Schizosaccharomyces pombe: one gene and its partner. The protein of the gene in region 2 purifies or fractionates together with the protein of the main gene of each other region. This does not show direct contact. Each region holds a gene or a part of one and is shown on either strand. Other genes may lie near its edges.

What was found. Proteins that work in one complex are often made in the same cells at the same time.
Region 1: the proteins of exo5 (region 2) and ssb1 purify together in Schizosaccharomyces pombe (co-purification; one study listed by BioGRID). This does not show direct contact.

What each region holds. Positions count from the first base shown.
Region 1 is NC_003423.3:219,300-223,055, forward strand, and holds the start of ssb1 (DNA replication factor A subunit Ssb1), read right to left. Parts: upstream 2,000-3,756; 5' UTR 1,962-1,999; coding exon 1,921-1,961; intron 1,852-1,920; coding exon 63-1,851; 3' UTR 1-62. Other genes in the region: M phase inhibitor protein kinase Mik1, read left to right, coding at 2,400-3,608, 3,677-3,756. UniProt on the Schizosaccharomyces pombe protein: As part of the replication protein A (RPA/RP-A), a single-stranded DNA-binding heterotrimeric complex, may play an essential role in DNA replication, recombination and repair.
Region 2 is NC_003423.3:2,770,976-2,774,731, forward strand, and holds exo5 (single-strand DNA-specific 5'-3' exodeoxyribonuclease Exo5), read left to right. Parts: upstream 1-1,877; 5' UTR 1,878-1,908; coding exon 1,909-2,071; exon of another isoform or gene 2,072-2,126; coding exon 2,127-2,191; exon of another isoform or gene 2,192-2,341; coding exon 2,342-3,118; intron 3,119-3,247; coding exon 3,248-3,472; downstream 3,473-3,756. Other genes in the region: INCENP-like protein Pic1, read left to right, coding at 1-1,395; SPOM_SPBC685.03 (uncharacterized protein), read left to right, coding at 3,722-3,756.

The DNA.
Region 1 (3,756 bases), 2.6 Mb from region 2:
AGTTTTCGCGATTTAAGCCAAAAACTCAATTACTCGACCAGCGAGACGTAAAACACAATGTTTTATTGAGCAGACTCAATGAAATTTATCAATCTTTTAGACTCTTCCTTCCAGTCCATTTGATTAATTGACATCACTGTATAGCGTACTCGCATTTCACCTTTAAAATTGTCTTGCTTAGCACGACATTGAAAGATATATGGCATATAGCAAGCTTCTGCCATACAATTCATAAAGGCATTTTCGTCGTTTTCTTGTAGATCATTCAATTCGTCTGCCGTTTTATGCATGATTAATTTACCGACGTCGTCAAAGACGTTGAGCCAGAGTTGTCCCGTATGATCACCTACAGCAATAGTTATAATATAACGGTATTGAGGAGCATCATATTCTTTATTACATTTCTCACATCGCCAGGAGCCACCTTGATCAAAAACCTTTTTGTTGCAATCAGCAGCAGGGCAAGCAGGATATGACACGTTTTTCTTTCGAATGTAAACAATGGTGCCCTTTAAGCTAAAATAATCGGGTGTTTCTGACATTCCCAGATGTTCGGCTTGAACCTCAGCAATATTTTTACGTTCAGCACTCCTTCCAGTAGTAGATAAAGTAGATGAAATTACGCTATGTTTGGCAAATTCCTGCCCTCTACCCTGTCCATCATACCAACCTTTTAACAAATGAGATTCCTGGATATCTGGATCTACCGACATGGTGCTGCTAGTTAACATTGACAAAGAGCGTCCTTGAAAGTCATTAACTTTAACTCCTTTGAAAGCGAGAATACTTTCTTCAGAAACAGAGAATTCAATAGCTGTCTTTCCCCAAAGCGTAACACGCATTTCATATCCTGTTTGGTCAACGATAGTGATATCACGCTTGTCAAATCCACGAGAAGTTGCACGACTGGTAATTTGTTGAACTGGTCCAACGTTTTGGAGTACACCAATTACATCGATAACAGCATCTTTGGCAACATCGCCGACTTCTTGTAGAGAAACAAAACTAAACTTCGCAACGGGGACGGCAGTTTGATCCTCAGCTTTCCTTATTTCAGTATCACGTTCAAACATCAGCTCATACTCGTTTTGAACATTGGTATATTGTTTTTTTGCAATGTTCACACGACAACGAGATATATAATAAACCGAACCTTCCTGTAAGATATCATAAAAAGCATCAACCTGGTCATTAAAGCCTGTTGCACGAATCTCCCCACTTTCATCGAGTAAATTTACGCTAAAAAGCTTTCCTTCACCTCGTTGATTATGCCAATGTTTAACCTCAGATTTGTTAGTAACACGGGCACGAATAGTCCATTTATTCTGATATGGAGAGAGACCTTCAATTGGGTAGATTATTGTGCTAAGGCTATTCGGCGCTGCTGGCTTCTTCATCATGGGAGGTGGAGCCGGTGCTGTAGCTGCAGCATTGTTTCCATAAAATGAGTTAGTGCTTGTCGAAATACCTGTTCGTGGTGCGCTAGCATTGTTTTGCTCATTTTGCTGCTGCCGTAAAGCGTCAACTGTTTCTAAACCAGCGGGATTACCAATTTTATCCATTACGCCAAGTTCAGTTAAAACATTCAAACCAAGAACAATCAAAATTTTTCTTTCTTTCATAACGTTTACAGTGAATTGGGTAAGCTGTACGAACGCTCCTTTTTGAAGTTTATTTTCGGCAACCAAATGGTTCAGCTGGGTGCTTAACATAGATTGCGCATAATTGATTGAATCGGAAAGGACAACACGATATCTTTTAGGAGCACCAGAAGTTGGATTTGAGTTTAGCTCCTTCACGGTTAAGACTTGGAGAATTGGATTAGGAGGAAAAGACGAAGCATCGGATGTACTAAAGAAACGTGTTAACATCCCAATTTGTCGAAATCTTTTGAGTATATAATTTGGACAGTTAACTTACTTGATTATACGAAGTGCACCCACGGATAATCGCTCAGCCATGTTTGCAAATTCTTTTTTTTTTAATTAGTGGTTGGTTTAAGGCAAAAGAACGAAGCCGCGTCGCGTTATCCCAAATGAAAAACGCGAACGCGTCATGACGCGTCGTAACACATTTTAATATTACGCGTAACTTTAAGATGTGTTGTTTGTGTACGTGCATGTCAACAATGGTTGTTTACTTTCAAAGTTATCCTTTGCGCACAACACATTGCTATAGAAAAGCCCTTAAAAGCTGAAAAGAATAGTAGTGTTATTTAATTCTCTACAAAAGGAAATAAATCCTTTGTGATTTTCCTTTTGTTGGAAGAGTTGAACTACATTATCATCTGCATATTATTTATTATTTAGGAAAACCGGAGATATCAAAGTGAAAACGGGATTTTAACAGCTAATAAGCAAAAAAATATAACTTTATTTACATTCAGGTTTCAGTTAAAGATGGATTCATCAACCACCATCCCAATTACTCCAACGCGAACACCATGTTTTTTTAATATATCCTCTTCGTTTAATGAGCATTCTCCATTAAATTTCTACGATGAACCCATTTACAATTTTTCGTCTGGCCATGAAGAAAATCAGAGCCATAAGTCATCAAAACTGACATTCTTTAAACCTTCCAATACAAAAAGAAGTCCACATACCCCTATGCAAAATAATGCAAAAGCCATCAGATTATCCACTACAGTTCGCCACGGAATTTTTAAGAATTCAGATCTCGATGGGTGTAGCAAACCATTTGCATTTTCGAGCGGCTTGAAGTTATCCAAAAAAATTGTGGATGCTTCAACGCCAATTGATTTAAAACGAAAAAGGGCGGTGACTTCTTTAAGCACAGGACTGTTATCAAAACGTGAAAAGTGGTCATTATGGGAAGGGAATTTGACTAATCCAAGAAGTGAACAACCTCATACACCTTGTAAAAAGGGAACGAAAATAAAATTAAAACCACCTCAATCTCCGCTGTCACCCACTACCTCTCTTTTAGCTCGCAAATGTAAACATATCGACCTAGATACTTTTAGTCGGTTGGATCATCCAAACTCTGACAGCTCGGATGAAACGTTTGAAATGGAAGAACTTCCTTCTTTGTCTTATGGTTCAGAGGACTTGTTGGAATTTTGCGAAACGCCTTGCAAGAGTCAGCCTATTTTCCTTTCAAGTTCCCACGTTAATAACTGGGATGAGAAAGACGTACCTTCTTCATTAAGTTGGACACCTACCAGTCCAATTTTTTTAAACATCAACAGCGCAGATGATTACGAAGAAGAGGAAGATTGGACTAGTGATCTTCGAATTCGATTCCAACAAGTTAAGCCGATACACGAGAGTGATTTTTCATTTGTATATCATGTGTCTTCGATCAACCCACCTACTGAAACGGTTTACGTTGTAAAAATGTTAAAAAAAAATGCAGCCAAGTTTACAGGAAAAGAGCGTCACTTACAGGAAGTATCTATTTTGCAACGCTTGCAAGCATGTCCATTTGTAGTAAATCTAGTGAACGTTTGGAGCTACAATGATAATATATTTTTGCAATTAGATTATTGTGAAAACGGAGACCTAAGTTTATTTTTAAGCGAATTGGGATTATTGCAGGTCATGGATCCTTTTCGCGTGTGGAAAATGTTGTTTCAACTAACTCAAGTAAGTTATTACATATTTAAAAGTCGCGTTCCACAGACACGTCATTTGAATTCACTAACCGAACATAGGCATTAAATTTCATTCATCTTTTAGAATTTGTTCATTTAGACGTTAAGCCTTCCAACGTTCTTATAACTCGTGATGGTAA
Region 2 (3,756 bases):
CCTTCCAAGAAGGAATTTATTGAAAAATCTCTGCACAAGTTATCTGAACCATTGCATGATGATTCTCGTCAAAATTCTGATCACAACTTTGCTCCGCATTCACGTCCGATTGCAATTCGTGTGGCCACAGCCTCTCAACGCGAACTTGAGCAAACTGAAAAGCGAAAAGCAAAAAATGGAGCAGCAAATGCTTCAAATATGGAAAGCCGCTCTTCTGAAAACGAAACTCATCGCTTCAAAAAGTTCTATGGTAAAGAACGAGAGTTATCAAACAACGAATTTCCAAGTCGTCAGACCAAAACTGTCACATCAGCCAATTCATCTAACATTAGGGATATGGAACATACTATTTCCGATAAACCTCGTTCTGAACCAGATGCTATACCATCAAGTAAAAGCATGCACTCAAATAAGCCATTTGAGGAAAAATCAGAAAAACCAACGACCAAAAGACTTGTTACTAACCCATCAAATGTGAATGCTTCATGGCATTCAAATATGTTAAAAAGACAAGAAGATTTACGAAAGAAGAAACCGTTAACCGACAACGGTGCAACTTCAAGGCATATGCTAAAATCTGGGTTAACACGCGTCACGTCGAAACCCACTCAAAGGTTTGCGAATGAGCTAGCTGAGGACATGTCATTGGCATTTCATTCAACTATTCCAAAAAAAATGGAGCCTGACTCAGTTACTTCTGTAACTCAGCCTTCTGTTGGTAGTTTGAGAAACAACTTCGATATAGGGACCACTAATAGTCAGAATGAAGATCGAAAAAAGAAGATAGCTGCACAAAAAAATAAGAATCCCGTACATGGTAATGTCGGTCTTACGAATCAACATGGATTCAAAACAATGCATCACAACGTCAACCCTTTTACTAAGCAGAATGGTATTATGAAAGGAAAGCTTCCATCTTCTAGTACTTCACAATCAAATAAACCTTTTATTGAAAAAGCTTCTATGCACGCTCCAGCTAAAGGTAGGAACTCGTCTATGCAGGAGCCCTCTTCTAAATCACCGTTACTGAAAACGCCTAAGTCGAATTATTTTCCTGGATATGGATCCCTATCGCCTAACACGTCTGTGGAATTACCAGAAATAAATAGCGATTATTCGGATGATTCAGATGATGAAGGTAATAAGAAAAAGGTAAATTTACCATCGTGGGCTGAATCACCTGAGTTACGAGAGCAATTAAAACGACAACAAAAGTGGGATCCAGACAAAATTTTCGGTATGATTAAACCTCTGCAAATGGATGAGTATTTCCGATCGAAGGATCGATCGAAGATTCGATTTCGACCAAGAAGCTCTTCTGCTGACTGGTCATCTCAAGATCGTTTGACCCAAGCAGAAATTGATAACTATAAGAAAAACATGGGTTTTTTATAGAGTTCTGGATTTTTGAAATGAATTTTGTATATTAAAGAACTGGGAAATTAATAGAGAAATACTTTAATTTATCTTATGAAACAATTTGCATAGAGTTAGATGACAAAATTAAATTAGATTAAAGGTTTTTGAATCTACTAATAACAATTATAATGAAATAGACCTCCATCTTAGACATTGAAGCATCGCTGATAATTAGTTTTTGTGCCGCAATAACATTAGCCATTAACAAACGTAGTTTGACATTGCCAGAAACTTAATCTACTTGTTCAAAGTTTTAATTTCTTTGAACGAAAAGAAACTGTGAAAGTACTTCTATCATCAATAGTTTAGCACAGTTTACATTGCTAGTTTTGGTTACACTAGACATTTACGTTCCACCATTTTAATAAAACTAGTGTAAAGCTTTTTTACCGTCTGGTTGGTTACTTTAAAAAAAAGAATTATTCTATTAAATGTGTGAACTAACGTAACCCGCACCTGAATAAATCATCCTAACGAAACATTAAGTCTATGGAAGAATATGAAGATTTTGAGATGGAAGATTTGAGCGAATTAGTCTCTTATATGGACTATCTTGAAACACAAAGATTGACTATTAGCCAATTGGATTATTCTTTGAGCATTCCACCACAATTGCTCGTAAGCAGGGAAATTTCTAAACTAGAGGACGAAGGTACGATATATTTCACTCAAGTCATGAACCAGACAAGCTAATAATCAACGTTCAGTTTGTGAAATGTTAAAAGAAAGTTCATTATTCCAACTGTTTCGAAAACACAAAGGTTATTTAAATGTAAGGTCTTTCTGAAGTTTGTGAATGATTTTTTATGGTTTTGTCAACAGATTTATAATAGCGGATTGAGACAATGCTATTCTTAGCATAATCATTTACAAGCATTAATCAATTGCATGTTTTTCATTTACTGACAGAACCTATTATTAGGTTACTGACCTTGTTTTACCTTTGTGGTGTGAAGTGCAACATGAATACTATTTATTGAGAAGAATTAAAAAAAAGACCCCGAAGATGGAACGCGGAATTAAGCTGCATCAAATACTTGAGTATGAAACCTCCCCTCCATCAGAACGTCGAGTGCTTGATCGGACATCCAAGGAGGAACCATGGGCATTACGATTATTAAGGCAATTAGAAGGTATTATGTTATTACAAAAAAATGGAATTACAAGAGAGTTTCCAATCTGGGGATATTACAAAGAGTCCTCAATTTTTGGCATTATTGATGAAATAAGTCTAAACAACCCTTCAAAAAGCAATTTTAATAGTGACATCCGCAATTACTTCAATTTCAAAATGTACGATTTAAGTTTTGTTGACAATAAAACTCGGTTTTCTTCCAGAAAGCCTGGAGCTTCACAAATTCTTAGTTCCAAAGTACAACTAATGTATTACGTTCATCTCTTTTTAAATTATTTCCCCTCTCTAGGAGAAAAACAACAAAGCATTTTTAGGGATATTTCTCCTACATATTCTAACAGACTTCATTCTCAAAGTCACTGGTGGAACATGTTTTTGAGCCAACTATCGCTGGACGGCACCAAGGACTTGGGGCCGAAATTTTTAGAGCAATCAATTCTTTCAATTCCCGATATTCCTGAAGATGTCTTTGCAGGTCATAACTCGCTAAATGGACTTTATGCACTCGTATTTGCTTCAGCTAAGAAGTTGCATTTACGTCTTACTGATGACAATCTTACCATTGTAAGTGACACAACCAATTAACTCGAAAATTATTTCGTTATCATTACAACTTTTAATTTTTTTTACGATGATTAGAATCCTTTTCGTAATATGATTGTCTGAACTATCGTTACTAACATCTTTTACTAGGCATACAGGAATGACAAAACAGGAGAAGTGGTATACAAAGACAAATTCTCTTTTAGCAATAAATTATTAGAAGCTTCCTATACTAAGGCTTATCAATTTTGGCACAATTTAAGGGAGCCTGAAGGCGTTCCTGCAGAGGAAGTCTACAAATGCCGAAGTTGTGAATTTCAGAAAGAATGTTGGTGGCTCAAAAAGAAACAGTATTACCCTCTTTCAAGTCCGTAATTGGGAATAATGACAGTTGAAAAGATTCCCAGAACATAGTTGGTCATTGGCATCCTATATGTTTAGCAACGATTTTCTTCCATCATATTTTGATAGGGCTGCTAGGTTGTTGAAGTCATCAACTTTTAATTTTTTTATCAATCTTTAAGAGGCAATTGAAATCATTTCTATGTAATCGATATAATTTGTGTTAAATCTCTATTTAAAAGAGCATGGTTTTTTTATTGCATTTTCTAGATCTCGGTGACGATGCAATTCTTTGGTAGCTTGTTTGTTTCTCTCCT